Coturnix japonica: one gene and its partner. The protein of the gene in region 2 purifies or fractionates together with the protein of the main gene of each other region. This does not show direct contact. Links are inferred from orthologs where the notes say so. Each region holds a gene or a part of one and is shown on either strand. Other genes may lie near its edges. The genes, in order: TTC21B and TULP3.

What was found.
Region 1: the proteins of TULP3 (region 2) and TTC21B purify together in Homo sapiens (affinity purification with mass spectrometry; 5 studies listed by BioGRID and IntAct, counting the BioPlex papers as one, with this or other methods). This does not show direct contact. The link is inferred for Coturnix japonica from reciprocal best matches to the Homo sapiens genes TULP3 and TTC21B.

Annotation. Positions count from the first base shown.
Region 1 is NC_029522.1:17,559,608-17,576,024, forward strand, and holds part of TTC21B (tetratricopeptide repeat protein 21B), read left to right. Parts: intron 1-867; coding exon 868-965; intron 966-1,395; coding exon 1,396-1,596; intron 1,597-3,163; coding exon 3,164-3,293; intron 3,294-3,732; coding exon 3,733-3,890; intron 3,891-5,091; coding exon 5,092-5,316; intron 5,317-6,034; coding exon 6,035-6,273; intron 6,274-6,566; coding exon 6,567-6,639; intron 6,640-7,343; coding exon 7,344-7,454; intron 7,455-8,215; coding exon 8,216-8,354; intron 8,355-9,965; coding exon 9,966-10,072; intron 10,073-10,661; coding exon 10,662-10,850; intron 10,851-12,224; coding exon 12,225-12,335; intron 12,336-13,072; coding exon 13,073-13,154; intron 13,155-13,697; coding exon 13,698-13,848; intron 13,849-14,322; coding exon 14,323-14,484; intron 14,485-14,869; coding exon 14,870-15,065; intron 15,066-15,737; coding exon 15,738-15,962; intron 15,963-16,417. UniProt on the Homo sapiens protein: Component of the IFT complex A (IFT-A), a complex required for retrograde ciliary transport and entry into cilia of G protein-coupled receptors (GPCRs). Essential for retrograde trafficking of IFT-1, IFT-B and GPCRs.
Region 2 is NC_029516.1:68,371,291-68,387,707, forward strand, and holds the end of TULP3 (tubby-related protein 3), read right to left. Parts: intron 15,163-16,417; coding exon 15,000-15,162; intron 13,134-14,999; coding exon 12,957-13,133; intron 11,932-12,956; coding exon 11,795-11,931; intron 10,294-11,794; coding exon 10,096-10,293; intron 9,600-10,095; coding exon 9,487-9,599; intron 9,078-9,486; coding exon 8,963-9,077; intron 8,354-8,962; coding exon 8,255-8,353; intron 6,736-8,254; coding exon 6,564-6,735; intron 6,058-6,563; coding exon 5,924-6,057; 3' UTR 3,690-5,923; downstream 1-3,689. UniProt on the Homo sapiens protein: Negative regulator of the Shh signaling transduction pathway: recruited to primary cilia via association with the IFT complex A (IFT-A) and is required for recruitment of G protein-coupled receptor GPR161 to cilia, a promoter of PKA-dependent basal repression machinery in Shh signaling.

The DNA of each region.
Region 1 (16,417 bases), on a different chromosome or scaffold from region 2:
CTTGCCTGGGCTGCATCCAAAACACACTTTTTAAAAAATTTTTATTTATTTTAACATACACCACCACTGAAGTCATGTTTTAATTGCAGTTTTCTCTGTTGTCTGAATACCTATTTTTTTTTATTTTACACTGTTGGGAACGTATATTATCATTTCAGTATGTTAATAAAGTGCCTGCATTTGCCAAAGCTAGAGAGTTCTCATGCTCTACAGAAATACAAAATTCAAGGGCAGGTGGTGGAACAAACTGTTTTCTGTGTCTGCAGTGAAGACTGAAGTGCATGCTTTTCAGTTAATTTAGACATGTACGAAATATAATCAGGCAAGACTTCTGATAATTACAGCAGTTTAAGCATTGGAAGATCTTTGGGAGGGAAATATCTATTTTAGATAAAGTGAAGATCTCAAGGAAGTGAATAATAAACATGGCATATGTGCTTCAGTCTTTGCATTTTTATCTGTAGCACTGCTTTCTATTCTGAAAACTCAGTATGAAAAAATCTGCTTTGTGTGTAGTCTGGGGTGTTCTTTTGCTACTTTAACTTGCTTGTTGGATTTGGAAGTGAAGATTTGTTGTACTTTGACTTGTGTTAGTCTAGAACCAAATGAACATTTACTGTGCTCAGCTTCGTAGTATTAGGATTTGGATATTTTCACAAGTGACTTTTTGGCATTGCTTATATTATGTGTTTTCTATCTCAAGCATTTCTAAGTATATGAAATCTGCATTACCATAGATCATGATCTATCTTTTTCTTCTTTTACCACAGTTTTATTAAGAGGCTGAAGAGAGAAGAATTCTAGGGAACAATTCACATCTTTGACTAAGAAGATAAATCTGAAATAAAATCTTTTGATATGTTACAGGAATTATTCGTTGTCAGATAATACAAGAGCAGTTAGAAGATGCAGAACAGCAGTTGGAGTTTCTTAATGAAATCCAAGAGTCCATTGGAAAATCAGCGGTAGGAGGCTTCTTTGTGTATTAAAATACTTTGTTTACTATCTGCATAATGGTCTAATATCTACTTCCACATTTCAGTCACTCAAGTGGAACATTCTGAATTTCAGTTTTCACTCCCCATCAACTTATTCATAACTTAGGAACAGTGTGTGTCTCTCAGGATAAGTCTAAATGTTAGGAAGGGAAGGGTGTTAATTTTTGCAGGATTATTTGATTGGCAGATCATAGAGCTGCTCCCACAAATTAAAAGAATGTGCTGACAAAGGAATGCAGTGATCATTGGTGCTGTTTGCAGTAAACATACTTCAGGTGTTGCAGTATCTCTACACAAAAAAAAAGAAATGACTAACACTAATGATTAAGTAATTTTGTATAAATAACAGGTGAATGTATCTGGAATATTTAAAACGTGCTATTTCTTCTTGCTGTAGGAATTATCTTTCTTGCGTGCAGTCCTTGCAATGAAAAAGCATAAGAGACAAGAAGTAGTGTCTGCCTTGCTGAATGATGTTCTGGATATCCACTTCTCAACTATGCACCGTTTTCCTCTTGGTGTGGAGTATTTTGAAAAACTGAATCCTGATTTCTTGCTAGAAATTATTAAGGAATATCTTCATTTTTGCCCAGTACAGGTAAGCAGCTGTATATTGCATCTCGCTGAAAACAAACTCTTGGAACTTTTTCTTGAAATCAGGCAATCATGAAGTAAAAGCTTAGAAAACTTTTCCCCTTGAAATTTGAATTTCTATGAGGTAAAATTGCTTTTTAAGATATTACACAACCATTTAATCAAAATAACTGTGTAAATACTTCTCTTGCAAAGTCAGCAGGCACTGTAATATCTGAGGAAACTTAGGATGTTAATTTCATGGCCTGCATCTGTATTTCTACAGATTATTTTTTATTTTTTAGAACCTCTTGTGATCAAGTAACTAAGAACACAGTGACTGTAACTATCTTAATGAGGAACTTGGTTATTCACACTGTAATTATTCTGGTACTGAAATATTGTCAGCTGGTCTTGTTTGTTCTAGTCTTGGTGCAAAGATACATAGGACTTACACATTCAGTGGGGACCTGACATCCCTAGAGTTGAAGTAAAGCTTTTAAAGTACCTATAAAGAGTGTCTTCTTTATAGAGATTATTCCTCTGAACTAGTGAGGAGTGATCTTTATTCTGTTTCTAGCAGATTCCTAGTCAAATTGTAGAACCTTTCCATAAATATTTCTTCATGTAAAACTATGAAATCCAGTCAGCAAAATAACATTAGAACACTTACTGCTAATTCATCCCACTGTCTTTGAGATGATATGGCTTGAAAGTCTAGAACAATGTGACAGCTCTATGTGATTTTGTACATAGATGGAGATTAAAGTGTCATTCTGTGAAGCAGTGTCTGAAGGTTTCCTTAGGGTTCATAATGGCAATGGTAGTTTTGTTATTTGGAATGAAAACTGAATTGTTGTCTCCATAGAGGAATGTGAAAAATGATACCTTTCCTGAACTTTCATTATACCTTTATTACAAAAAAGAGATTGTAGCTTCCTGAGGGCGCGCATCCTAAGAGGATATTAGGGGTGAACAGAGGCATCTTTATGTTGTCTTTTGCTTGTTATACAATGTTAACTTCTTCATGGGATGCAAACTGCTCATAATAAAGAGCAACTAAAATGTGATACAGTAGAGCGAGCAGTTGATGTGAAAGACTGGATAGAAGTGGTTATTTTCAGGCCGCTGCTTTCAGTTTGGTGATAACTATGAGGGTAAGTTCTGTGGAATGGAAAAAGCAAAGAGGAGACAGGACCAGGAACTTTTCCTTCCAGCTTTGGCTCTCTTGAAGTTCTTATTACCATTTTGTTGGATCAGTTGGCATGGTAATTATGAACGTGCCGCCAAATGTTCATGGACAGCTCTTTAATTACATCAGGTCTGGGTCTGTTTTTCCTGGAATTCATAGTACACTTTTGTGTCCCTCCCTGCTGATACCAAGAAGTTGCATTTTAGATGTAAAATGTACTCTTATATTTCTTTACAGCAACAACCTTTATCTCTTCAGCTTCACTGTTGTCGTGAGAGTTTAAAGTGAAAATCAGACTTGAAATGGAATTCAAGTATTTTGCTTGTTTGTTTTGTTGGATTTAATTCTGTTGATTTGTTGTTCTTTGTTTTTTGTTAATTTTGTTTTGGTTTATTCCTAGCTTGCAAGTCCTGGGCAGTCTCCTTCACCACTTCTCAAGCAGTATGCTTCTGTTCTTGAAACTGTGGTAAAAACTGTGCCAGGTCTTCAACAAGCTGTTTTTTTAAATGCAAAGGTGAAATATTTATCAGGTAATACTTGTATGAAGGGTTAGTTGTCTACCTCTCTAGTTTCTCTGCTTTTGCTCTTCAATTGTAAAGTATTTCTTCTCCACTGTGTTACGCTAAATAGCTAAGTGAAGAATACCTGCACTACTTCTGTCATTTATGCGAGCATGTTTTAGTTCTGTGGGCACATTAATGTGATATTACATCTATTGCTTTCCAAAAGAGATCAGTTATTAAATGATTTGGAGACGGGACAATAGGAAGAAGTCTTAACTTTGATTTCTGTTCAGAGCTGCAATAAATAAATTAAAAATATGGTCATCCTTCATGCATGACTTTGTTCATTGAATGCTAATAGTTATTAAAAAATAAATCATCAAGTTAGTAAATAATGAATGAATGTTTTGTTTAACTCATGTTTCTTATCACCTACTTTTTCACTTTGTCTTTTTTGACTTCCTAGGGGATATTGAAGCAGCCCATACTAATCTTCGTTACTGTCTGGAAAGGGGTCCTTCTTATGCAGATGCACACTTACTTATGGCTCAGGTCTATTTGGCTCAGAACAATACTAAACTGTGTTCTCAATCCCTGGAACTCTGCCTGAGCTACAGTTTTGAGGTGAGTTGGTCAAAACTATCAAACCACTTTGTTCAGTCAATCTAAGTTTTTTTGTATGTTTTTTAATATAGTGGTCTTTAAAATGAGATTTTTGACTCTTCCACTACAAGCTCTATAACTAAATGCTAGTGTGAATGTGGTATCTGAATATTTATCAAATAAATAACTAATTTTTCTTAACGAAATCCTTATTGCAAATACTGAAATTGTCTTAAAATACAAAAGAAGGAATAGCTTTCCCTCCAATCCTTACATAAGTACTAAAAGCAACTAAAACAAACTGGTACAAACAGAATTGTTGATTGCAGATGAACTTTGCGATTGACTTTTAAAGGTCAACATAGGAGAACTTGAAGAGTGATCCAGTGTCCTTGTATTCTTACACAGATACACAGTTACAGATGAAGATAACAAAGGTGCATAAGGAGTTCAGAAATGAAAATTCATGTTGTTTTAGCACTATAAATTTTACGAGTTTGAAGATTTGCTGACTTGCTCTATTTGTTTACTGTTTATTTTCTGATTAACACTGATGGGGGTACATGGTACAGCATTCCTTAGGCCTGAGTTGTGCTAAGTCTCTTGGCAGCGCATGGCTGAGTAGTGGGACAAGCTAGCACTTCCTTGCAAGTGTTCTCTCCTTTTGGTTCCTTATTCCAAATGATGCAAAAAAGCATAAGGCTAACAAAGTAATCAGGAAATACCAAGGTGCGTGCAACTTTATACGTAACTGCATTTCCCTTATTTAGATCTCCTTTTCCCATTAGGTCTGTTTTGAGAAGGTGTGGAAATGGCAGACAAGAATTAAGCTACAAAATTATTCTATACTATTTTTAATTGTAGCCTAATGAAGCAAATGTATTTTAATGCGAGAGATGCTGAAAATCAATCCATTCTAGTTTAAAATAATTCTGTCTCAAAGTTGATATAATGAAATAGGGAAGTTTTTTATTATGAAACAAACTAATTACTATTTTCTGCAGATACCCTGAAAACTAATATTTACATTATTGAAACTTGAATTGGATAAATTTAGATGTTAATGGAAACTGAGGTCAATGCTGGGGAAAAAGAGAGTCTGTCAGGGAGATGGAATACTGTGCATGAGGGGAGATCTGGAAATTCCTTCTTTTTCTTTATATGTGTGTGTAATTAATTATATACATATACTTACATAAATACATATATCTTTTTCCTTTAGGTGAGAGAACATCCAGTTTATCACTTAATTAAAGCTCAAACCCAGAAGAAGATGGGTGAATTATCAGAAGCTATTAAGACCTTACAGATGGCAAGAAATTTGCCTGGAATGAGAAAACATACAGCTTCCTCAAAGACAAAAGGAAAAAGAATTGAAATTGATACAAGTGATCGTGTGGCTGTCTTTCTAGAATTAGTAGACGCTCATTGTTTGAATGGAGAACCGGTAAGATCACAAACATACCCAGAAACAATTTCTTCCATCCATTAACTGAGTTGTCTAATCCTCATTAGCTTAGAATGTAAAACCATCTATTTCTCTGCCAACAAGATATGCCTCCTGGCATTTTGAGGCTGTGATATTTGACTTGACATCTGATGTGTGAAACCTTGCAAGAAAAAAATATGTATTTGCATGTGCTACACTGACTGAAAATTGTTACACAAGACTTGAATTTTGCAGAGCATATACTCTTATATACTGTTGATGTTCACTGTCAGGCATGTAGGTTAATATTTTGTTGAAACAATCCTACTAGAAATCTTTTTTGACTGTGTCCTTACTTTTATGTGTTAGTATCCTTACTCTCAACTGAATCTTAATATGCCTTAGGATACTGCATCTGCCTAAGGATATAATGTACACACAGCACTGTAGTTGGAAGGCCGGAGGTCATCCCTTTCTAAATGGGACTGGTTAGAGAATGATGTTGTCCGGTTCATTTTTTTTATCATTTTCTTGCGTATATGCAACATAAGTGAAGAGAAAAATAATGTTTTAAATGTTTCAGCAAAAGAAATGAATACATTGGCTTGGTTTTGCTGCTTTTTTTGTTTTGCTTTATTTTTGTATTATGATCTCAGACATACATTTGCGTATGATGACTTCATTTTTGTCTGTTCAACATCAAAACCTGTGTTAATTCTGTTGGTTTTATTTGCAGCATGAGGCTGCTGTAGTACTACAAGATGCCATTGATGAATTTTCTGGAACTCCTGAGGAACTGAGGGTCATGATTGCAAATGCAGATCTGGCAATTGCTCAAGGAGATGTTGAACAAGCCTTGACTGTGCTCCGAAATATTACACCTGAACAGCCTTACTTTGTAGAAGCTAAGCTGAAGATGGCAGACATCTATCTTCAGTGCAGGAGAGATAAGCAGTTGTATGCTGCTTGCTACAGGTAAAAGTGTGCATTGTGTATGTGTTCTATTTTCCAAGATGAGAAATGGCAGCATCTTGAGCTTCTTTGTTCTCTTTTTGCTAAAACATGTCAGAAAATATAGCGATACAATGAGCTCAAGTGTTCTAACATTTAAAACAGTAATTGGAATTCTTACTTTGGAAAGATTTCAGATAATGTATTTTAAGAAATAAAGATTAATATCACTAGAGGATAATGTTATCACACCCTACTTGTTTAGATACCGATATTGATGTGTTAATAATGAACACGGTTCTGTCCTTTGCTTCCAGAGACCTAGCAGAAAAACTGCCAAGTGCTCATACGTTTCTTCTTCTTGGTGATGCATATTTGAATATTCAAGAGGTAGGTTTTTGCTAGAAATGAGTAAGTGACTGAATCATTGCTTTTCTTTGGCAAGTTGAGAGAAGGTAGCATAAGGACTCTTAGCGGTAGGTAGTTGAGAAACAAAGTTCTTATGAATGTTAAAAACTGAAATAACTAACTATGAATGTAGCTGTTCTAAATTCAGATTAAAAGCTGTTGAAAGTACCTTCTCATAATTCTGGGAGAGAAACTGAAGGAGACCATTTCCTCTTGAAGAACGTCAGACAAAAATTTGAAAAGAAAGAAATCAGTCTATGTTAAGAGTACTTTTTAAACTTGAAACAATTGAAATTATGTTCCAATACTGAAAGTTTTATTTAAAAATCATAAACTATTGGACTTCAATATATATGCTAGAAAGTCTTTGATTACTTGATGGACTGGAAATGTTGCTCAGTATTTGTAGAAGATGTGTTGTATTGCGTGAATGTAGAAATTTGAAAAACACACCCTTAAATTCATATTACTGGAAGACTTGATCAGGTTAGAATATGAAAATTAGATAAATAGTTTGGGGAGCTGTAGGTGATTTACAGTGGTCTTCCCTTTAATGAAGAAGTGCAAAGCAAAATATAATTTCTCTGTGTGCTTTTACCTACTCTTGGAATACTACCAGCTTTTTATTTTCCACACATTTGTTGTCTTAATCCTTGACTTCTGTGTTTTATCTTTCACCGTTGAAGCCTGATGAAGCCATAGAAGTCTACGAGCAGGCTTTGAAGAAAAATCCAAAAAATCCAGCTTTAGCAACTAAAATTGGAAAAGCCTTAATCAAAACACATAACTATTCAAAGGTATTCTATAATTACTTGGTTTGTTTCATAACTGAGTAGAAGTATTTAATTTTATAGCTGTAAAGTAAATGTACTATGTAACATGCGATTGGCCAAAGTCACAGTTGCATATTGGTGGATATAAACCTGATGAATTGTAGTTCTGTTGACTTAAAGTTGATACGTGTTTGAACCTGCACTGAAAGTCATCATTCAGTGCTTGCCCTTTAATACAGTTGTGATACCTCTCACATCCGTAGCACTGCACAACAGAATGATAATGAAGGCTTTAGCTTCTCCATATTAGAGAAAAAGAAGAAAATATTTGGGGAAAAATTGAGTTCTTTCATATTTTTAAATTTCACAGGATGTTTTGCCATCATGTTTTTCAGATAGATTTTAGAGAAAATCTTTCTCCTATTGTACAGTAAAACAGAAATTTATAATTCAAATCTGACTGTAATTACACAGCTTTAGTAGCTAATGAAAAAGTAATTTAATTGACAGCAAGTCAGCTGAAGATGGTAGGTGCTAACATGGTTAACTTCCATAGTCACCAAAATGCGGCACTGGTTATTCTGTTTCTTTAATTTGGCTCTGAATCTTGGGAAGTCCAGAACTGCAATTAAGTGACATCCTATTAATACAGTAATTACTAGAAAATAAGTTGGTTGCAGAAGGAGTGAAGAAGAGAAAGGTCTAAGCAGGATGCCATTAAAAACTGAAGTAGTATAGCTTTCTGTAATTTTTCTTTAATAACCAGATTTCTGTGTTTCTTTTAGGCAATCAGTTACTATGAGGCTGCCTTGAAAAGTGGTCAGCAGAATTTCCTTTGCTATGACTTGGCTGAACTTTTAATGAAACTAAAGCAGTATGAAAAGGCAGTAGTAGTACTTCAGCAAGCTCTAGATCACGAGTATGGTATGACTGCCATTAATTTACAGCATAATGTGTAGTTACTACTGTTACACTTATTTGTGTTTTCTCTCTGGCTGTAGGCAATAGTGAAGATCAATATCAGCTTTTTTTTTAACTATGTAACACAGGGAACTACAAAGTGATAGATGAAAAATACTCAGAAATAAACTTGAGTTTTACAAAAATACTTGCCAGGATTTTTACACATGAAACATCACATCAAGTAAATGCAACTTCAGACCTTTATATAGGCAAGTTTTTTGCTCTTTTTTGCTAGCAGAAATTCTGATATGGTCCATATAGGTGTGACTAATTCCTGCTCCTAAGAGAATAGTTCTTTAAGTGGAAGATACTGCCAGGTATCCTTCACTGCAAAGTAACCAAACCAGTTGCAGATCACTTTCTGTGTTTTAGGAATGTGTAGTCACAAAGTTAACTCCTTTTGTTTTAGGATGTGCATGGAAGTGTCGATCCTCTATTTAACTTTATTCTCTTAAAAAATAATAATAAAACAACATCAGTTTATCATTTTGTTACTGACTTAAACATTTAAGGATCCAGCTAACTTGATAATCTTACTCAAGAGAGCTTAATCTTCTAGTGCAGAAAGATTAAATTAACTTTAAGTTGCCCCATGTACGTAAAAATATTTACTTCTGTCTTACAGTGAGACAACAACTGTGGGTTTTTTTTAATATCTTTGATATACATACTCCACAAGAAAAAAAACCAATAGTATGTCATCAGCTAATTAATTCTTTTTCCATTAGGCAAAGTATTGAGTAGATCAGTATCTCTGTTTAGAAATGCTAGAATATGCTTCCTAAGATGTCAAAGAGAAATGAAATGTAGGGAGTGTTATGGAGGGAGCAGTCTTATGTAAGGACTAGAACAAGTTGCCAGCTGACTTAAAACAGTGTTTCACAATTAAAACGCTTTGAAGACAATTCAATATATTTATATGAAAACATAAACACTTTTTTTTTTTATAGTATGTAACTGTGCTCAAGACACCAATTTCACAAGAGATTAAAATGAATACAAACAGGAGAACTTGTACTGTGTAAATGCTACCTTACACATGCGTATTTTTAACCATTATTAGAATTAGCATGCTGCTTTTTCAACAGATACTAAAGCATTTAGTTAAAATAACAACTTGTATTCATGTCCATGTTACTCATTCTAGCAAAAGAAAGCTACTTTGAAATCTGACTGGAAATTTCACAAAGCAATCTTGTGCTTTTTTTGGTTGGGTGACACTAAATCAGTTTGGATGTTTTTCATTGCCTTTAAACAGGTTTTTTGTAACAAATAGAAAGAATGGCTGTTTTTGGTTTCCATCTTAAGTTACTCATATATTTCTGAAAATGCAAATGGAAAGGCTGGTAATTTTTATTCTTTTCACAACTCATCTTTGCCTTAAATCTCACTCTGTATATTATGTTTACTCCTTCCATTGCCTGCTAACTCTGCACATAAAATCAAATCACATTCCTGAATAAAATCAAGCTGTGAACTTCTCATTAAGCTGTTTCCTGGAATACATGGAGAATTTTGACTTCCCAGGATCAATTCTTAAAAGACTCATGTTTGTTTATCTATTTCTTATAGTTAATGAATTGTCTTCTCTGATGGAAGATGGACGGTACCACGTTCTATTAGCGAAGATTTACAGCAAAATGGAGAAGATTGATGAAGCTATCACTTCATTACAGCAGGTAAAGGGAAGACAAAATGCAACCTTGTGGAAGCTTGCAACATCTTCATTTTTATTCCTTTTATTTCAGCTTGAGCCAATGGAGGGAGTCCTTTATTTGGGAATTAAATAAAATTCAACTTTAAATCAAAGAAAATTGAGCAAGTTCAATCAGAATTGGGCATGGCTATTTCCATAGCTGTTCCTTTTGTTCTCCTGGGGCATCTGCCTTTAACAGAGTTCTCTAGTTCCATGGTTCTATCTTTTCTTAATCACTCCCTAAATGAAGAAGTAAAATGTGGTAGTTGTTTGCATACTGTCTGAATTTTCTATACTTAATAAAGGAGTTAAGTACTTAGACTTTGAGTTTTAGCTTTTGAAGTTTTGTTTGTATGCTTAATTTTAGCCTATTTAAAGTCTTCAATGTACAAACCTTACAGTATTAGATGGACATAAGAGAAGCATGTTGGAATCCCATCTTGAAGCGTTAAATGCTGGGCTGTTTGAAACTTGTAAAAATTGTAGCTATGTTGTTGTAAAATGAATGATACAATATTGAGTCCTTCGGAAAACAGTTGACTGATCCTTCCTTATCCTTCTCTCCATGCTAGGCTCGAGAATTACAGGCCAGAGTACTTAAACGGGCTCAGACAGAACAGCCAGATGCAGTTCCTGCACAGAAGCAGTTAGCAGCTGAAATTTGTGCTGAGATTGCAAAGCATTGTACAGTTCAGCGAAACTATGAAAAAGCAATTAAATTTTACAAAGAGGCACTTGTTCACTGTGAAACTGATAAAAAGGTCAGTTCTCCCTCTGACAGTTTTGCATTTGTTTTCCTCTTCCCTTTTGATACTTAGCAATGCGTTTTTCCAATTATCCACAGCGTTGTACTGTTTTAGCAATTATTTCTGTTTTGTGATGAAAACCACAAAGGCTCTGTGTATGTATTTGCTTTTTTTTCCTGCCTTGAACTTTCTCCTTTCTGTCACTCAAAATAAAATAGCTGTATATATACTGCAAATTTCAGTGTATTTACCTGAAATCCGCATTTGAGTGCTGGTCTATGTTCACTTAGTAGTCTGTTACTTGCCAGTATGATAGGACTGCTGTCATGCAGCAGTTGAGGATGTGTAACGAATGGTATGGTAAGAACGGCAACTGCTCCAGCCTTGCTTGTTGCCTGTCACCTGGAAAGAAATCCCAGTGACTTCAGTCAGTTCAGACAATTTCTGTCTCTGCTGCCTGTATTCTAAAAGTTCTGTCCCTGCTTGGTAGGATTCTGGTTTTATTTGAAAAATGTTGCTATTGCTGAGCAGTGGTTATTGTACTGCTTCTCTTTTCCCTTCACTGTCTCTTTCAGATTTGCTTTAATGTTCCTTTACCGACATGGAATACAATGACACCGTAGCAAATCTAAAACCAAATTTCTGATTTTTAGAAACTTGTTTTCTGCTGCGTTAGATGTCAAGTTTAACCGATGTTCTTCTCTAACATGCCCCAAACAGGAAGTTTCCTAACTAGCATACTGATTCACAATCTTCCACTGTTCTACATACAAAAACTTTCTTCGAATCACTATTTGAAGAATAATTAATATTCTCATGTATGTGCAACTCTGTATCTGTTCCATTGCTTGGTTGCTTGCCTTTCTGTTTCAGAACTACAGTGACTGAGCCCTGAGGATGCATGCTTATGTAAATGCTGGTTTCTTAATATTTATTCTGTGGTGGTTTCTCATAAATGAATTCATACAGTTATAATATGTTAGGTAGGGAAATACAAGCAAGAAAACAGTTTCTCTTAGAATTTGTCTATACAAATGCAGTTAATCAGTGGATGTTAATGAGATATTTGCTTGTTGCGACTTTGTAGCTATTTGCATGTATGTTGTTTTTCTCCCCAAGATAATTATTCTTGCTAAAATTATTTATACTTTGGAGCAATGCTGTCTTCAAGTCTGCAATAACCAATTAAAGAAGAAAAGTTTTACCTTTTTTGTAGCTGGGGGAATTGAAATCAATTAAAATTTTTGATTGAGACTCTACAGAAAACAACAGTAAGATCTGTCGGTAAAGTAGAACTATACAGCAGAATATGAAATCTCTGGTAGACACGTACAGAACTGAACTTCCTTAGCTGTATGCAATTCAAAGATTAAATATTTTACTACACAGGCAATGTTGGAACTAGCACGTTTGTACCTTGCACAAGATGATAGTGATGCCTGTCAGCATCAGTGTTCCTTGTTACTGAGGAGTGAGCAAGATAACGAAGCAGCAACGATGGTAACGTACTGTTATACTAGTTCTGTGTGAGAAGTTTTTTGAAGTTTTTGTGTCAGCAGTGTGATAAATTTGTAAAATACAACTTTTAGAAAACATCACAATTCAGGAATGTGAGCAAATCTGTTGCAACAAAATATTGCCATTTATGCTGGATACTGATTCAGTACGATCTTAAAAATGATTTTAAGATGGGAAAAAATTATTCTCTTGCATCAAGTAACATCTGGAATTTATCCTAGTACAGTGCAAGACTGGGAGTGATAGCATTCCAATTAGTTTTGTTAAATTTACTCTTTAATAACTGCCTCTTGGGGGAAAGAAACTGAAAAAAGAACTGAATTTACTTTCTCTTCTGAAGCGGGCGATGTGTTTCTTTTTCCTGAACTTTAAAGTAGTTTGATTTTCTAGATGCTTAATATGCATTTCTGTGAAATAAAAATAGAAGTATTCAAGTGAAAACAAAGCATCTTTGATAGCTACATTGTAATGTTTTATTCTCTCTTGCCTTCCATCTTAAGTGAAAAACTGAGAAGTGAATCTGCTTGTTATTATTCTGTGTGTCTAGCTGAGGTGTTTATTCTCCAGAGATTAGTGGGGAAAAAGGCTCTGTTTACTTTTTGTCAAATTCCTGCAACACTTTAACCCTAGGGTTTTTCTGCCCCTGGTTTTAAAGAACTAGAGTTAATTTTGAAACACAATATTTAAGGCTTTGTTTTGGTTTTTGGTCAATACTGTAGATGATGGCTGACCTCATGTTCAGGAAGCAAGACTATGAACAAGCAATCTTTCATTTCCAGCAGCTCCTCGAACGCAAGCCAGGTGATTGTTCACTAGTGGTATTTTAAACTCTTTGGTACTGATGTCTAAGGAGAGAGAGGTACAAATAACTAAAAAGTGCTTTGTTATGTGATAGTTATAATGCAAATAAAACGAAGACCATCACTGTCTATAAAAACATAAAGCTATTGTAGGGAAAGATTTGCAAATAACTTCACTCAGCTATAGTAATTTGTACTGCTTCAATGCAATGTGCATTGCTTAACTTAAGCCAAATGTAGTGTTATGTACTTGTACCTGTAAAGTGCTTTCTCTAGTATTTAAGCTATCAAGTGCACAAACACAAGCCTGGAAATTTAGGATAAGGCTATGAAAGTGAGGTACAATTGTACTTACCTTTGTACAGTTTATTTAGGGGTATTGCAGAGGTATCACTGTTTTTTATCTGACACTTTTATATAATATGACTTACATTACACTCTTGTCATTTTTGTGTGTTAAAAACAGTGCAGGGCCTTCATCTTTAAATCTGTTTGCTGTGCAAATAACTGAAATGACGATGTCCTGTTTATTTAATCTATTCAGATAACTATGCCACTCTCTCACGATTAATTGATCTGTTAAGAAGAGCTGGAAAACTAGAAGATGTCCCAAGATTTCTTTTAATGGCTGAAAAACATTCTTCCAGAGCAAAGCTTGAACCAGGCTTTCACTACTGCAAAGGACTATATCTCTGGTACTTGTAATTAAAATAAGGTTCATATGACATAGTGCATAGTTACATTAATTTTCTTATCTGTTGTCATTCAAAGGTGCTACGTATGGTGTGTTAAGTGCTGTAGCAGTACATTGCTTTAGATAATGGGATTTTAAGAAAGGTTTCTTTGCCTCTTCTGTAGTACTTTGCAATGAACTTTTCAAAGAAAAGATGTTTTATCTTATGTACGTCTTTCATATGTTCTGTTTAGTAACAAAGGATATTCTTTCTGGTTCAAAGATGTAATATAATTACTTTGAAATTCTGGAATTTCACAGATTATTTTTAATCTGCAAAAACGCATTCCTTGTACTAGCACATGTGATTCTCAAAGCTTGTATTATTGGTGTGTGCAAGTATGTCAACTAGTTTTGAAAAGCTTGGGTTTTTAGGCACAACTTGGGGCAGTCAATTATACTTGTCCAGTTTTCAGTAGTTTAATTATCTGTGTAGGTATACAGGTGAACCAAATGACGCACTCCGCCATTTTAATAAAGCTCGAAAGGACAATGACTGGGGACAGAATGCAGTCTACAACATGATAGAAATTTGTTTGAACCCAGATAATGAAACTATAGGTGGTGAAGTCTTCGAAAATCTGGATGCTGACATAGGGTAAGTGAATGAAGTAAATGTTGCTTGGATTATTTTATTAACTCCCCCTTTCCCCAACCTCTTAATGATGTTTATTGATCAAGTAAATTGCTAGAATTCTGAACTGCTAAATAAATCCCTGTTAAGCAGAAAGTGTAGAGGATTTTATCTAGAATCCTAGGCACTTGAAGCTTTGGTTAGAAGATAGGTTGTAGGCAGATTGGAACTACCTTTATTACAGGAGAGAATATAGAATGCCTGTATAACAGATGCATGCTTTTATCACGTTATTATGGATCCTGTGTGCGCTTATAAATTATTTGACATATAAAAATGTGATTTTATATATAAAGGTAAACATTTAAACTATCGTTTGCTTTTTTTTACAAATGGTTTATGATAACAGTAACTCAACAGAGAAGCAGGAGTCTGTGCAGTTGGCTGTAAGAACAGCAGAGAATCTTCTGAAGGAACTCAAGCCTCAGACCATTCAGGGTCACGTTCAGCTGCGAATCATGGAAAATTATTGTCTCATGGCAACCAAACAAAAATCAAATGTCGAACGAGCTCTAAACACTTTCACTGAAATCGTAGTGGCTGAGGTTAGTAGCTTGTCTTTTTTCCACAGTCTTCTCCCCTACACTTAGTATGATTATTTAGTCTTGTTGTTCAAATTAGGTATAATGTGAACTAATTATCTTATATGAAACATGCAAAGAAGCTTGCCCTGAAATAACATATTTAAGAAATCTCGCGTTGGATTGAAACTTAGACAATATCAGCATACAGTTGAGGCCTGTTATTGAAGTGTGTATTGGCTTTTGGTTTGAGTTCTTGGGTTTGTTTAAGACTCAGTTCTTGTATTTTAACCCTGGGAGGCAGCTAAGCACTACGCAGCTACTTGCTCACCCTCTGCAGCAGGCTGAGGGAGAGATTCAGGAAGATTAAAGTGCAGGAACTCATAGGTTAAGATAACATTAGTTGACTTGGTAAAGCAGAAATATCTGTGGATATTTCCTGAGCCTGGATACAGTTCTCTTGAGCTCGGAGCTGTATTCAGTCTCTTAAAATGTTAACCTGGTCCTTGTGATTACAGTTATAAGAATAACTGTTGCACCAGATGGAAAACACATTGATGAGATTGGGTGTTGTATCTTTAGTTCCTGCAACTTAGCTTTTAACTTCCTGATGCCTTATCTTAATACTTAGAAAAATGTTTCTTAGAAGTAAAAAATTGAAAATCACCAAGTGGTCGCTATGCTTTTTTTCTGCAGAAAGATCATATACCTGCACTTCTGGGAATGGCTACAGCCTACATGATCTTGAAACAGACTCCACGAGCTAGAAATCAGTTAAAACGGATTTCAAAAATGAACTGGAATCCCATTGATGCAGAGGAGTTTGAAAAGAGTTGGCTTCTGCTTGCAGACATATATATTCAGTCTTCAAAATATGATACGGCAAGTGAATTATTAAAACGATGCCTTCGGCATAACAAGGTAAATGACTGCATATTATAAATAACCATTTTATTTTAATTCGTGGTTTTTTTTTGTTTGTTTGTTTGTTTTTTTTATCTGAAGCATGGAACAGGCATGGCATGGGCACAGATCTTAACATTTGTTCTTATTCTGTCCTTTTCTGCTGATGAAATTGTTCTATCTCTACATTTCACTCTCTTTCACCTGAGGCACATCCAGTAACACAGTACATGTTATACAACATCAGGATACTCTTTTAGCAATCAGTAATTACTGTTGTGGGCATATATTACAATGTAAATAAATACATGGAGTGAAAGCTTCCTAGGTCTACTATCTTGTAATAATGTTTCCTTTCAGTGTTTGAAATGGAAAGCTGTAGTGTATAAGAGTTTTCAAAATTAAGGTTATGGAAGTAGTCAAGAAAAAGTGCACTGAACATTTTTGGAGTAATTGTGGTGTGCTCTGTGATG
Region 2 (16,417 bases):
GCAGAGATCGGGCCCGAGTTTGGGAGGAAAACAGAAGGTTTTTATTTTCCCTGGAGTTTGAAAGGAGTAAACGGGGAACGCGTGGAATGAGAGTTGGTATGAAATGAACGCGACCGAGGGAGGGGACTCCAGTCTAATGTAGAGGATGGAAGAGGGTTTAGGGAGGGGACTGGCCGGGGGAAGGAGGGGGAGGCGAGAGAAAGGCCGAGGCGGAGTTGGGAACAAACTCCAGAGGGGGATCGGTTCTCTCCGTCTCGGGGCGGAGAGGAGGAATCGCGGGGCAATGGCCGGAAGAAAAAGCCCGCGGGCGCTGGCTGCCCCACAAACAGCGGCAGAGGAAGGAAACTCCAGGCGGCCGAGAAGGAAAAGTCGTGAGGAGAGCAGAAGGGGTTTGGCCGCAGGGACATGGCCGCCTCCAGCAATCAGTGCGGCGCTCAGAGTCGGGAACAGAAGTTGCAGTCGCCGTTCAGGACGGCTCGGCCCCAAGCCATGGACAAGCGGCGGAAACGCAGCCGCCTGCCTGTTGTTTTCCCAGGCGTGGGGGTACGTGGACGAGAAGCCAGCGGCGGAAGCCCCGGGGCTACAGTGCTCAATCTAAAGAGCCGCCAGCCCCCGCTGCAGCTCCCTTCCATTGCCGGGTCCAAGCGCTCTTGGTGAAGCCAGGCTTCGGCCCTTCAGCGCCGTGATCCCAGCACAGCGCACACCGCAGCTAGACCCCTGCAGCCAGGCCTGACTCACAGGCCTCTTCGGAACTACCTCGGGGATGTGGCTTTCATAGTTATACAGCTACAATACAGAAATGCTTGTTTAGTGATAGTTTAACTGTCTTCAGAGCATCAGAGAAAGGAAACTATTCACATAACTGCAATGGGATGTCGGGATGTCCTCTGTGGCTTTTATCAAATCACCCTGCTAGGTAGATGACTCTAACATGACTCCCATGTTCCCGTGGGGGCTCCATGCATCCCTTCTCCCTTTCTGCATTCCCAGTCTTCCCTCATGTGCAGAGCATATTCATGACCGACCCATCACTCCATCCATTCGCACCTAACTGGCAAAGCAGGCAAAGTAGGCAGTCCCAGCTCGGTAGCAGCCATTTATCCCCTTGTGCCTGCCAGACTTGCCTCGGGGCAGGTTTGAAATAGATCTGACAGCTGGTCTCATTCACTACATAGTTTCTCTTTTCCGATCCCATCAATCAACTTCATCTCTTAAGCTCGCCTTCCAACGCAGCTATTTCTGAATCCTCAAACCTCTTTACTAGCCTGCTGTGCTCACAGAGATTCAGAGGAGAGACACCGAGCTGTTTTCCTCAATACCTGTTTTACCATCTCTCCACACTGCTCATCTCTTCTCCACAGCAGCAAAATCTTCACCATTAAGTCCCACAGGTTCTTCCTGGTCTTTTACAAATTCTTTTCTCAGTGGTCATTTCTGATCAGTGGATCAGTCTTCCACCATGCTACTCTTCTTTCTCCTCTCCTGTTTTTACATTTGGAAACTGACCATTATTAACACCTAAGAAAGCAGGGTCATACTCAAAAACAAGCCAAGAGAATTCACATATTTCTCCCTCAAGCACTATTGCAATGGCAGCACTTCACCTGGCTATTTTTATCTCCCCTTTAGTTTTAACTATTTAAAAACAATTGTTTATTCCATTTACTTGCACAGAAGTATCCCTCCCAACTTCAAAATCCATTATGCTTATCATGAAACCATGAGCTGACAGACATCACTTCCACAAATCTGATACAGTAAGCACCACATGCTGACAGAGATGGCAGTAACCACCAGGTGGCTAGAAAGCATTTCCTATGCCCCATGCCACTGTCCAGAACACTATTCTGGGCCTTGAAAAGCACGAATTACAGCTAAAAGCACCTGAGAAAGAACTGACTTAGACAACTGGACTCCTTTATGAAAAAAAGACTCATGGCACCTGGGCCAAAGAGCACGGCACTGACTGGGTATATCATAGCTCCTATGTCATGGTTCTATGATGTTTTGTTATCGGTATTCCACATCATAACATCATGCAGTGCACTGAGAGTTAAAGAGTACTGCCTCCTATTTATTTCCATGGAAAATACAACAGACACAAAGAGCCCAGGATGTGACAGAACTACCAAACAGTATTTGCAGTGCAGCCACCATTGGCTGTGCAGCTTTGCCAGCCACAAACGAGAGCGCTGCACTTATGAGAAATCAGCACCTGCTGAGGTGACCCGCTGCTGCTGTCACCACTGAAACGCACCATCCACCGCTTCACTGCGCTACCATGCACTGCTTGTTATTTATAAACACTCAGGAAGCGACCAATGTTAACTGATGCCATTTCTTCTGCACGGAGATATTCAATTCCACATCTTTGCTTCATACGCACTCACACATCTGATGCCATTCTGCCCCTAAGCTGCCATCTGCCGCACAGCAACAACATGCAATGGAGTATTAGTGGGAAGGTTCAGCCTCTACTGCCACACCACCAACATCTGCCTCAGACATCATGGGCCAGCATAATAAAATGGAAGGCATCAGTTTAGGAGATGCCTTCATTTGTCCATTCCTATATAATACTGTATGTCATCACTACTATGGTTGCTGTATCAGTATTACTTCAATAAGCTACACAGATTAACGAAGAATGAATTTCAATAGAACTGAGCAAAGGTGGTGGTGATTAACCAGGGGATGCTGGCCAGCATGGGACCTGAGAGTGTGATGTAAGTGGTATGGAATTAGAGTGCATATCATCCTGGTTTTGTTTATTAGGAAATGACTACCAATTCCCATCCTCTAGAACATGCTCACATGTGTATGTATTTACTAGCTTAAATATTTACAGAGTAGGTTACAGTTATAGTAACTTTCACCTTAATCATTTTGGTGAAGTCAGTTTGCTTTTAAATTTTCTTCCACTTTGGGGACCAAATAAGTGGTCTACAGCAAAGAACAGCTCCACACAAAACATGTTATGACCAGAATTCTGTAGACTATGAAGTTCAGGAGATACAAGATTAACAGTTGTTAGAGAAATCAGCTCTCAGTTTGTAAACCAGGGGAAAGGTTTTTCTTGCCATCTTTAACAGGAATAGGAAATGTATCTCAATGATAACTAAGAGATTTACAGATATCAGGAAGTAGAGCAGCACAGTAAGTATAAAGCAGACAGTATGCTGATAGTAACAAAAAAAAGATCACCATTTCAATTTGACTTTCCCCTTAACCGTGTGCTATTTGATTCAGAAATATACTTTATTATACTTCAGTAGCAGAACAGGTGCAGATCGAGGGTAGGAAAATGTATAACAAACCACCTCAAATGCACTACCTTGATACTGAATTAAGAATTAAAAACATGAAACTAAGAAGCATAAGCAGCTCAAATAAATAATCAAATGGGAGCCATGAATTACACCAGGCGCCCTGCTGTTGGAAAAGGAAAAAAGGCATAAAGGGCATTAGAAAATGAGCTTATATTTATTCCTAGGCTTCTAAGTGTATGAAGAAAACATCAAAGAACAGAATTGAGAATAACAAAGGAAAAGTTGTATGAAAGAAGAGAGATAAGACACAAGAAGCCAGGAAGAAAAAGAGGAAATAACTAGAACCAGAGTAACAAATAACAACCACAAGCGACAACAAAATCACACCAAACAGAAAACAAATAACCTCACTTAGAATCATTGAGTTTTCCAATATATAAATTATTTATTTGCATTGAGATATAAAAATTATAAATACAATTGATGTAAAACAGTATCTAATAAAAGAGCACTGATGCAGTTAATCTGTCCACATAACTTGATCAAGGCTCCGAGACTTTGGCCCAGTGAAGATGATCTGACATCAACAAATGACTTGAAGATCCACTGCTAACTGGCATTACTGTCAAGCAATGCCACCACGAATTTTTTAGAACAGAGCAAAATCATCTTGAATTGGAAATCAGCATTCAACCTTCAAGACCTTCAAGTCACACCAAACTAATGCAGTGCAATTTCTTTCACACTGTCCTAACCAGAAAAAAAAAAAATAATCAGATTACTAAACAGACTTTTTAGTATTTCTGGATGAGTAAAAGGAAGGCAGAACCAGGAGCTAAAGAATTCAGCAGAACATAACTTGAGAACACTGCCTGATCTTGTCCCTGGCCTGATAAGCAGGAAGTACATGAAGGCACAAAGGATATTCATGCTATCAGTTCTCTTTGCTGACTGATATGCTGATGAGATCTCTTTGAGTACAATGGCCCTCCTACAGAATGGGTATATGAGATTGGGCCTCCAACATTTTGCAGAGTTGGTCCTCCAGCCCGAGTTTATAATTTACGATTAAATACAAAGTTTACAAATGATGACTGTTTTTTTTTTTTCTTCTTTTTTTCTTTTTTTTTTTTTTCCAGGGAAATTAAACCCTATGAGGTCATTTCCTGCTTCCATTTTGAAAGAACAGGTTATACCTACCACTGCAAAGACACTGGAGACCAAAAGCAGTGTCTGCTTCTTAGTAGTCTGAAACAGAGCCCACCCGCTGATAGTAGCAACATGCAAAACTGAAGAATGCTGTTTCTTGTCTTAATAGAAGATGCAGTTTTCCAGGCTCATTGTGGATATGCATAGTAGCCATGGAAGTGGCAAGTTATTAGCTGTTGTGCTTTAGTACACAGCAGATGTGAGCACTATGAGGCTTGTGTATCAGCATGTAGCAACTCACTGATAAATCAAAGCCGTATGAATCAAGAAATGTCCCACGGTGTAACCTACAGATTCCAAATTGTGCAATCCAGCATTTAAATGGGAACACGGGAAAGAAACACTGTAGAGCCTCGTGATAGTTTTCTTTTTCTTTTAACTTGCTGATGCCTTTGAAAACAACAGTAATCTCCTCTTGAGGTATCTTACATGCAGATTAAAATCATTTTAATGAAACCTACTACAAAGCGTCATAACTTGAGATAATCTCACATTAAACAAACAAACAAAACAAAAAAAAGAAACCAATTACATCTTGCTCATTCCTAAAAACATAGAAAATTTTTACAAATAAAGTACAAATTAAAAAGTATTTCTGATCTAGATCCCAACACTGCTTTTCAGGAGCAGTACAATACTACTTTCGGCCAGAGTTGTGTTCAATTCAATCTATTCAATCTTATATTTCACGTAGTTAAAAATAACACCAATGGATATAATTTTGCCAAATTAAAAGGGAGTGATGCTTCATTTGTTAAGAAGTATATTAAGGGACATGAAGCAATTAGGATAATGAAAGGAAAATAAGACTATCAGCTTTAACAGAGATTCATTCCACAAAGTAAGAGACGTTTCACTAGAGCCAGTATCTCAGTCCAGCCCTGTGTTCGCTGACTACTAACTAGAGTTGCGCATAGGCTTAATCTGAACCCTTTTCTCTTTCACTGCTGTTAACAGGCTGCAGAATACTGCACAGGGCAAGACAGAACATACACTGCCCTCCTTTTTTCTTGCTTAATCTGACCAGAAACTCAAAGTCATATCAGTAGCATCATCTCCAGGGGCACTGCTGAAGATTCAGGGTACATGAACACTAAACCATTATTTGTCTAATCCTAGCTGCAAAGGGTTTCAGTAGTGAAACAAATTTCTAAGCCTGCTCAAGCAGCAGCTGATGCAAAGGTTCTAAAAGCAAAAATAATTCTGACAACAAAAACATCGCTCATGTTCCTTGTTCTTCCACAAAGCATACAGAGGCAGACTCCTAAGACAGTCCACCGTTAAATACCGAAATGCCCTCAGGACTGCTATTTACTTTCCAATAAGCCTACAAAAAATTGTCTTCCAGTATCTTTCCGCCCCCAATATGCTTTTCATTACTTCACCTTGAATTCTAACAAGATACAGAGATGGGAGTGAGTTCCATGTGTCAAGTTGGCTGTTTCTCATTCACAGGCCAATTTACTATCAAAGCTGGACAGTCCAATAGCAAAGGCCTGAAGAGCACAGAGAGGATAGTTATAGTCCAGAGTGAAAACATCTTCTGCTACACGACCGAACTGCATCACAATGTAGTCAGCTGGGGAGAAAGAAAAAAAAAAAAAAAAATCAGAGACCAACAATTTCAGGGGTAAGCAAAAAAAAGAAACAGAAGTTTAAAAGTGTCGGTCACTCCCAAATATACACGGTTAGTGTATCCACCATCTCTCATCAAACTGACTTTAAAATCTGTTGTCTCTAGTGACTGTGGTATTCCTAGAGATTACCTTCCTTCTAAGAACTAAGGCTCAAGCCACTATTTCATTGCATTGAAGGTATCATGTTAACTCCTTCTTTCCCCTGCAAGATGCTTGCAGTTCCTCTATCTCCTTTTCATGCATCTATTGAGAGCAGCCTCTCTGCACTCACCCCAGAAAAGTCAGGCCCTCTAAAGTTTTCTTGCCAGAAGTCCCAGTAATACTGAGCTAACTCCCTTCACCCAGTCCCCTTCTCTGGGAATAGTGCTCTATTCCTCCCAAATCTCATGATACATGCTGTTTTCCCTGTTTAAACAACACACTCTTCCACTCTCCACCAAACTCTTACGGTCATTGTCGTGGACAATCTGGAAGTTCTTCACTGAGGCCTGAGTGACTCTCCCATGGAAATTCAAAACATAGGACTGAGTATCATCATTCCAGACTGGAGCCTTGTTGTGCAACTCAATGAGGTTCTCTAAATCTTTGGTTTGCCATTTTGACAGAAGACTCTCATTTTCCTATTCCGAAGAAAGAAACATTTTATCAGATTCAGAATGACTCTGCTATTGAGCACTGCCTCTCTCATATGTGCATTCTGTGACTTCAGCGTTGTTCCCTATTAAGTGAAATGACAGCACTTAAACTCAGTCCTACTGAAAGTATCCTAAAAGTAACAAGAAAATTCTTTCCAAGCACTCCTTTCTACCCCATGAAATATCACCATATATTCTGGTTAAAAAACTACACTGGAGGGTTTTAATATTGTACACAGATAAAAAAATAGATTATTCTAAAAAATGCTTTATTTTCCTTAAAGTAAAACTTGATTTGATTAAGGTGCAAAAAGAACCTGGACAAGTTCTAGAAGTGGGCCCAGATGAACTTCATAAAATTCAATACGTCCAAGTGCAAAATGTTGCACCTGCAATTCCTACAGTCAATACAAGCTGGGGGACAAAACTGTGGAGCAAAAAAGACTTGGGTATACTAGTGGATGGCATGCTAGACATGAGCCAGCAATGTACCTTCACAGCTAAGAAAACCAAATGCATCTTGTGCTGCACCCAAAGGAGGATGGTCAGCAGAGCAAAGGAAGTGATCCTGCCGCTTTTCTCTGAGCTGGTGGGACCTCATCAGGAGTACTACATCCAGATGTGGAGTCTTTAGTACAGGAGAGACATAGGCCTGTTGGAGTGTGTTCAGAGGAATAACACCTCCCCTGTGAAGACAGGCTGAAAGCACTTGGGCTATTCAGTCTAGAGAAGGCTCTGGGGAGACCTGATAGCACCCTTTCAGTATCTAGAAGGAAGCCATAAGAAAGAATGGGACTGTTTAGCAGGGTCTGTTATGACAGAATAAGGGGAAAATGTCTCAAACTAAAAGAGATTTAGACTGGATATAAGGAAAACATCTTCCACAGTGAGGGTAGTGAAGCACTGGAACAGGTAGCCCAAAGGAAATAGACATCCCAGCCATGGAGACATTCAAGGTCAGGCTGGGCCAGGCTCTGAGCGACCTGTTTGAGCTGTAGATGTCCCTGTTCATTACTGGAGAGATGGACTCTGGATGATCTTTAAGTGTCCCTTGGAACTCAAACGATTCTATGATTATACGATTCTAACAGCTTTATGTTTCAGCCTTGGCCACAGTCACTATGTTTGCCTGCTAACAAAGCAGTAGGCATAAAAGAGAGAGAAAAATACAATAAGTGCCTTTCATGAAAAGGGGTTGTACATGCAACAGCAACAAGTCAGAGTAGCCATTTGCAATAGCTATACCATAAATCATAGTTAGGTTGCCTGAAAGATGAGTATGAATACAAACAGGATTCAGAAACTTAGAAGTGAGGTAAAAGGCAAGAATACATTAATCACCACTTTTGAGCAACACTGTTACTGCCCCGTAGACTCAGTAACAGCCATGGCCAACACCAACCATTCTCTAGTAAGCATGATTGTCAATAACACCCACACCTTCACCAGAAAGTTTTCACACCTCTTCCTCCAGTCTGAATTATGACCAAACTCCATAACTCACATTTCGTGGCTGGACTGGAATTCTCTTATGATTCATATTCATTCCTGGAATGATTACAGACATTTTTCTGGGACCCTTGAATCCTAACACATTGGTTTCCTGAAATACAAGGAAAGACGCTATCTTCAGGAATGGATATACTCCATCATGCAGAAGGAAAGACAGCAAAGCTGAGCTTGAATCCACATTTATGTTATTTTCAGAGATTTGCTGGCTATAACTGCGCTAGCTGGATCTGCTGACATTTCTGTGAACAGGTTAATACTGGAATTATCAAGACATATTTTACCCCTAAAGTGCCACTTATGGGAAAATAGCCCCAAAAAATTAAAATCACGCTTCAGGCTAATAACCTTTAAATTTGTTCTACTGTGCCCATGATAAAAGACAAAAACTTCAACTTGACTGACTTGGATTTTGTGAAGTATCTCAGATTTTCCTTAAACCTCAGGACTGGAGTATCAATTTTTGGTCAAGTAACAAGCTCATTAGAACATTAATTTGGGTCTCCCTCCCTCTTACATTCATTAAAATAAATAAAAAATAAAACTCATAAGAAACTGCATTTGTGCCCTTTACCTTATCTAGTGGAAATCAGTTCTGAAGTTTAGTGGGGGAAGCTGCAGGCAGCATCACTTTGTGAGCCCTGCCTCCTTAGTAATCAGCCTGCAAACTAGAAGGGGGCAAAAGGGAAGAGGCTCTACTTACATAATAAATAGCTGCAAGTTCTTGTCGAGTATGAGCCTTATCCACTTGACCTTGTGCTTTGACTGGGCTAACTCCATGGTCATAGACTGTAAATTTAGTTCCCATGAGGTTTGACCTAATTTCAGTTATAGAAAGACATAGAAAAAGAGACAGGTATCAGTAGAAATTATTATCATCTTCCAAAAGCATGTGCACGTGACAGAAAAGTCAGGCATCTCCAGTCACCTGAGTCTTTCTCTAGTGATCTCAGTAAGGAGTTTCAGTAAAGTGCCCCTTGTAAAATTGGGTACGTTACCTGTCCTGAAAAGCACTGAGCCAGAACTCCTCCAAATCATCACTATGAATGGTAACCGAGTAAAGACTGACAACCTAGTTGAATTCAGTAAGCTCGAAGTGACAAATTAGTTCTCTCTGAATAGAGAGCAAATTACTATCCATAACTCCAACTAAACAAATATGTAAATTCCATCTGTCCCACTGCAGAAGATGTACATTCTTCTGTAGTTTTTATCTAGTGCTCTCACCTGAGTTTTCCAATGAAACTTTCCCCTTCCCGGGATAAATCAGTTGGGTCAACTGATATGACATAATTGGACGTTTTACTCTTTTTTCGTTTTCTACCTGCAAGAAGAAACATCTGGAAATACAAAACTTTTATCAAGACTGGAGTTTTGAAAGAATGCAGAGGCACTGCTATCCAGGCTGTTACCTCCCAATTTCCCACATCCATTCCCATTTTTGTTCTGAACTGTTATTAGTCTTGCTAGTTTTGACCTCTCCCACAAGTACACAACCTGAAATCCTGCTCTTCCATCTACAGTACTCAGCAGTCTAGATTAAAGGCATTTTTTTTTTCCCAGTTTTCCCCACTTTTCATCTGGAACAGCTCAGTCTCCCTGCTTTTCTTTAACCCTGACATTTTAAAACTTTTAAGTTTCATCTTTCTTTGTATTCTGGCTTCAAAACTTACAAACTCCTTCCTTAGTGCCTTGGCCAGATATAAGTTGCCCTCATCTGCATGCTGTCACTCCTCAGCTTCTGGTTCCTTGCTGATTTATGCAGTGTTCTTCATTACACTAAAATATTACGTCTAAGAATACAACAGCCAAGACACTGTACGCTGCTTCCAATACCTTTCTGTTGTTATCCTTTTCCAGATGCATGTAATAAGTAGGGAAGAGGCCCCGGTCCATTCCCTTCTTATCTCTAGTGATTCGACACTTGATTGTAATACCACGTGGCGCAGGGAGCAATGCAAATTCCTCCAAGTTCTCTACTTCTCCCAGATGTGCAACCGCCTGAGGGGATGGACTACAGGAAGCACCTATTTCCTATAGGAAGAACCATCATATTAGAAAACCAACATCAGACCAGCAGGGTCGTGGGTATTCCCCATGAAAAGGAAGATCTGTTGGAACAGATGCCCCAAGAACATATCTGAGAAATGGAAGTTGAATGAAAAAACATCTGTGTTTCTCTGAAGAAAGTGGATAGAAACTTTTTTACTCTAGCTCTCCCAGGGAAGGAGAGAAAATAAAGCCAGTGCTAAGAGTGCAGCTGTGACATGGAGCTGGGACAGGCCACATCATGCTGCTGGGCAGTGCAGTAAGGAAGGTTCACTTGACCCAGAGTCCTGGGCCCTCAGATAGGAGGGAGGGAGCCCAGTGCCCACTGCTCTGAGTTGGGGGCTTCTCAGTCCTTTCCTTAAGAGAAGAGGAAAACATGGGTCAGCACCTCCCAAACTTCCATCTGTAGGATCTGAGGGAGTGGTACAGAACTGCATCACAGAAGGATCAAGTTAGGTGTTCAGAAAACATTCTTCTCTGAGAGGGTGCTTGGTCATGGAACAGGCTTCCCAGGTAGTGGTCAAGGTGCCAAGCTGCTACAGTTCAGTTCTATCCAATGATACCTTGGACAATCAGACACAGGGTATGAACTTTGGGTAGTTCTGTGGGGAGCCACAGAATGGAATCTGTGATCCCTACGGGTCCCTTACAGCACAAAACGTTCTGTGATTCTGTAAAACCTTGTAGACTGCAGAACCTGGAGTATTCCTTCATCTTGGACACTTGAAATTCCCTCATGGGGAGCTTCCAAGTCATCTCCAGCAGCCATCAACCACACCTCAGCTTTTTATTAGTAAATAAAAGCAAACAGATTTCTTGTACTACTCACTGGCTAGTGTGTATACTGCGCTACACAGCCTACACAGAATACACAAATACATGCAATTGGGTCACATGAATATTATCATGGACTTCCAGGATCAAGGATCCCTGAGGCCTTTTATCCATTCTATTTACTCCTTGTATTCTTACGCTTGTTGTCCCCTGACTCAACTTGATCCTCTTCCCTTGTATCCCTTTCTCTAAGCACCTCATAGTAAGCTTTGTACAATCCCAGAATCCACTCCAACATTCTGTTCCCCCTTGCATCCCTACAACAAAACCTATAATAGAGGTAGCAAACCCTTTTAGTTTGTATGGCATTTCAGAGTTTCTCTGAATCATCCTGGCAGATTTTGAAGCAGAGACGATGGTCTAATCTTTCTTCTTTGAGCATCACAGGGGCACTGATTCAGAGTACTCCCCTGTTCACTGATTAGGTTACTTGAGTTCAGTTTTTCCACCCATCACTGTTCCTTTGATGATTACCAGGTCTTTCTATTTAATTAGATGCTCTTCTGTTAGATAATCTGACACTATTGTCCCTCCTCCGACTTCAAAGATTAACAACTGGAAATACAGTATTTTAACACAGTGCTAAAGGGGAAAGCAGTAAAAATCAATAATATGCCCAGTTCTCATCAGAAACTCATTACAAAACACCTACTGCAAAGGATTTCTCAGTGGTTGCAGAACTAGGCCTCTCAGATTCAGGATGTGGTGACTGAGATGCTGGTCTCTTACTTGTTTCTTCCTCCTCTTCTTCCATGTCCTCCTCATCAAAATTCAAACTGCCTGAAATTCCTGTCAGAACACAGAATTAATTTAATTTAATCTAAAAGAAAGTGTCATGAGTTTATGGCATTGCTAATTTACATATAACCTTTGTGTAGCTATTACTAATACTTATTTCAAATTGCTGATTTTCTTCTCGTGCTATATCACTTTCTAAGCTTTGTAATTCTGATTATATTTATACATATAATACTGATAGCAGTAGAAACATCTTACAGCTGTCAGTTTTTGGCTGATAAAACTTTTATTAATACGTAGTTCAGCAAGCAATGTATTGTATCATGAATGTGCTATCATTGAATTAAATTTTGCTTATTTTTATATGCAAAAAACTAACAACCTCTCCGTAGTTAAATATCAAAAAAGGCAACCCAACTCTATAATCGTAGGTAAGACCTACCTTGTAGGTTGGACTCTGTACAGTTCACATTCTTCATAGAATCACAGAATTGTAGAGTTTGGAAGGGACCTCCAGAGATCACCGAGTCCAACCCCCTTCCAAAGCAGGTTCCCTACACCAGGTCGCACAGGTAGGTGACCAGGCGGGTCTTGAGTATCTCCAGAGAAGGAGACTCCACAACCCCCTGGGCAGCCTGTTCCAGTGCTCTGTCACCCTCACTGTAAAGAAGTTCTTGCGCACATTCGTGCAGAACTTCCTATGCTCTGCTTTCTGGCTGTTTCCCCTTGTCCTGTCTCCACACACTGCTGAAAAGTCTGGCCTTGACACTTTGCTCCCCCACACCTCAGATATTTATAGATCTGGATCAGGTCCCCTCTCAGTCTTCTTTCCTCAAGGCTAAACAGACCCAGTTCACTCAGCCTTTCTTCACAGGGGAAATTCTCCAGGCCCTTCAGCATCTTTGTGGCCCTCCGCTGGACTCTTTCAAAGAGATCCCTGTCTTTTTTGTACTGGTAACTCGCTTTGTTATATCTTAATTTTCTAATTATTTTTAATGCTATAGGAAAAGAAAAAGAAAAAAAAATTATAAACAGAGGAGTCCTGAAAAGCGTGTCTGCCTACTATCAACACTTACCTCTTTTCTGTAAGATTTCTTGCAGATCTGCATTGCCTGATGTTTCTGTTAGAGCATGTTCATTGTTTTTCTCATCTGCATTTCCTGCTGTTATGGAAGATCCAACAGAGAAAGTTTGGAGTTTGGTTCCTAAATCTTGCACTTCTGATTTCAAGGAAGAATCTGGTCCATCAATGCCTGCAAGCCAAAATGAAACATAACATAAACATTTCATTTTTACAGATATATTCCATAATGGTTGCTCTTTTCATCCATTATTGCTTAAGCACCCTGTATGGGAACTGTTGAATCATGGTCTAAACTTCTGATTGATCACCTGAGGTGAGCACTGAGTCAGACACAGGAGCACAGGTGAAGGCAATTCACTTGTGCAATTGGAAGGGGTGGAGCCTGGATCCAACCTTCAAACTTTTCCTTTACAAGGAATGACATTAAACGAGTGTTCTACAGTAAACATCACAAATCAATTTGTTAAGAATATTCAAAGGTATAGGACAAACACATAGTAAATTTGATGCCTTCCACAGTTTCAGAAGAAATGGCATTTCCAGGTTTAAACATGTAGCACAGCATATGCTGCACTTTGCAATTGATAAAGATCTATGTCAAGGTCTGGAACAAAATGTGGGATGCTCTGAGAGTGGAACAACCTATTTTAGTATGTTGATAAATGGCAAAAAAGGTAAGTGCTGGTGTTATGGCAGTAGAGAATGAACCTTCCCACTAACATTCCATTGTCGTGGCACATGATGCCGTGTGACAGCCTGACAAAATGGCATCTATCAAGGAACTGCATGCGAAAAGCAAAGGTGTGGAATTGAATTTCTCCATGTGGAAAAAATAATACCACTTGACATTCAGTCTCCATAAACAGTCAGGAAATGTTGATGAACAGTGGACGTTAGCACAGCGAGGCAACGCGTGGTGAATTTCAGCAGTGGTGACACAGCAACAGTAGATTACCTCCCTGGTGCAAATGTTTATTTTATTCTTTATTTTTATAAGCATAGAATTCAGGCTTTTGCTCATTGTAGGTAAAAATGCAGAGCTAATGGGAACGAGTATGCTGAAAAATAATGTTTTGTAGCTTAGAATTTGCTCTATCAAATAGCACTAATGGTGCTAATGGTGCTTCTTCTATCTGTTGTAACTTCCATGGAAATAAATAGGAGGCATTACTTTCAGGCAACATACATATCAGAAATGTGTTTATGTAGTACACAGTATAGTTTCTGCTTTGATTTTTGTTGTTGTTTTTTCACTGTTTTTCATCTTGAAACTGCACTACTTTTTCTAGTTGGACTTCTGACATGATTTATATGTATTAAAGAACCTTTAGAACTGTGGAAGCTAGTGAAGTAGTTAGATTCCTCTTTTCTTTTCTGCAGTTTTGATAATACTGAAGTTTCCTAACTATATTTTTTATTCTTCTCAAATTTTCTTTTATCAGATTTCCCCCATTTAATTTTAAATACATAAATGTTATCATCCACATCAACACTTCCATCACCATCCTAAGCTAGTGAAAGAACCCTAACAGTGGCAATACACCATTCCACACTAGTATGCACCTCAAAGCCTATTTGCTATCACTTTCTTGATAGGCTGATAGGATTTTAGCTCTCACAAACTACTTCCTGATGTTTCTGCTACAATGCTGTTACTCTTTTTTCCCACCCTATGACATACAAGTCTTTAAAGCTCTCACTAATGCATTTCTTTTAATTCTCAATAAAATGTCTGCCGTTTTACTGTAATGCCCTCATACCACTGAAGGGAGGCTTTGGCTCCCTGGTATTGTGTCATGTTTGTGCATTTTCTGGACCCCTATAATTTGCTTGTCATGCTTCTGTTGCCTTCCAGAAGGCCACAGGAAAAACAATATTTCTGTCATATTATACTGTAGTTCTATAGCTGTACATAAGGTTTGTGATCAGTCTTGTTTATGGCTTGACAACTGTCACAGCAACACAGGTGACCATCTAAGACATAAAATGCATGCAGTGGCATGCTGGGAGAACACTGTTAAAATCAGGTACTTACCATGTAACACAACATCACTGTGGAACGTGGCAGGAGTTTCTACTAAAGGAGTCTGTTCCTCACACCCTTTGGGCTTCAACCTGTGCAGCTTTGCCTCGGGATTTGGCTGTACCATCAAGGGATCAAGACGTTTCTTCTTCTGCTTTTTCTCTAGAAGGGCTCTCTGTGAAATAAAAGGAAAAGCATGAATTAAGAAAAGGTAACCACAACACTTGCCAGAGAGCCTGCACCTCAGCCACTGATGATGATTTCCCATCAACCTAAATAAAGTGCTCCTGTTATCTCTCACAGAAATCCTAGACACAGATATTACAGTGTCTGGAGTGAGACACTGCTTTTGGTTCTCCTCTGATGGAAGGATCTATCCTGATATCATCAACAAATAATTTTAATTCCTTTTCTCCAGACAAAACTGCAGTAAACCTTAACATAAACAGCCAAATTCAGTAGTCACTTAGAATCAAGTGTGAAACTGATCTATCTTACAAAATACATGTATTTAATTCAGAAATGAAAGAAATTCAAGTGTTAGTGTTAAAAACAAAACATTTACCCATCATACATACACGTGATGTTCATTACTCCTATTATATGTAAGTAGAGAGATCTAAACTTATAGCAAATACAGGCACTGCATCATTTTAAAGACAGCCATGCTTAAATCTTAAAATATAGATGATGCATGATGTAAGATGTGCAGACCACCTGTCACAGATGCAGATTATTCAGCTATTATTACTTACTGCAGAATTATTTACAAGGATTGTCCTGAACAGCAAAAAAATACAAAGAACTGTATAGAGATTATTAGATCAGTCTAGAGGAAGGTAAGGTAAATTAAAATTCTTAGAAAATACTCGGTAATATTTTTTCTCTAGTAGTCAGATCATCCAGAAGAAGTCTTTAATATATATGCATTAGGATAAATTAATGCCAAGTTAAAAAGTTCTGCTATATTGTCTAAATCTTTAATAGTTGACATAAAAGGAGAATGGAAAACACAAATATATTTAAAAAAAAAAAAAAAAAAAAAGATTTGAGAAAAAAATGTTGCCGAGGCTTCTGTACCCAGCAAACGGACAGGTGAAGAATAAACACATCCTAAAAACAGTAAGGAAGTACATAGCTACAGTTAGAACTGGAAACTGAAACTGGGATCAGTATAGAACATAATAATTTTTGAAGTTACTTTACTGTTTATTCTACAAGATTAGATTTTTTAAAGCATATTAAAACATACTTCACTGCTAGTGAATATGACAAACTTTTTCACAAGAACTTAAAGGTAACCAAAGTGATGAAACTTGACAGTCATTAGGTTTCTCTCCAAAGCTTTGTTTATTAAGAAGAAAATTTACAAGCTCATGGGTGTGATGGTTGGTCGCAACTCTTTCTCTTTACACAAGGTGGCACAGCAG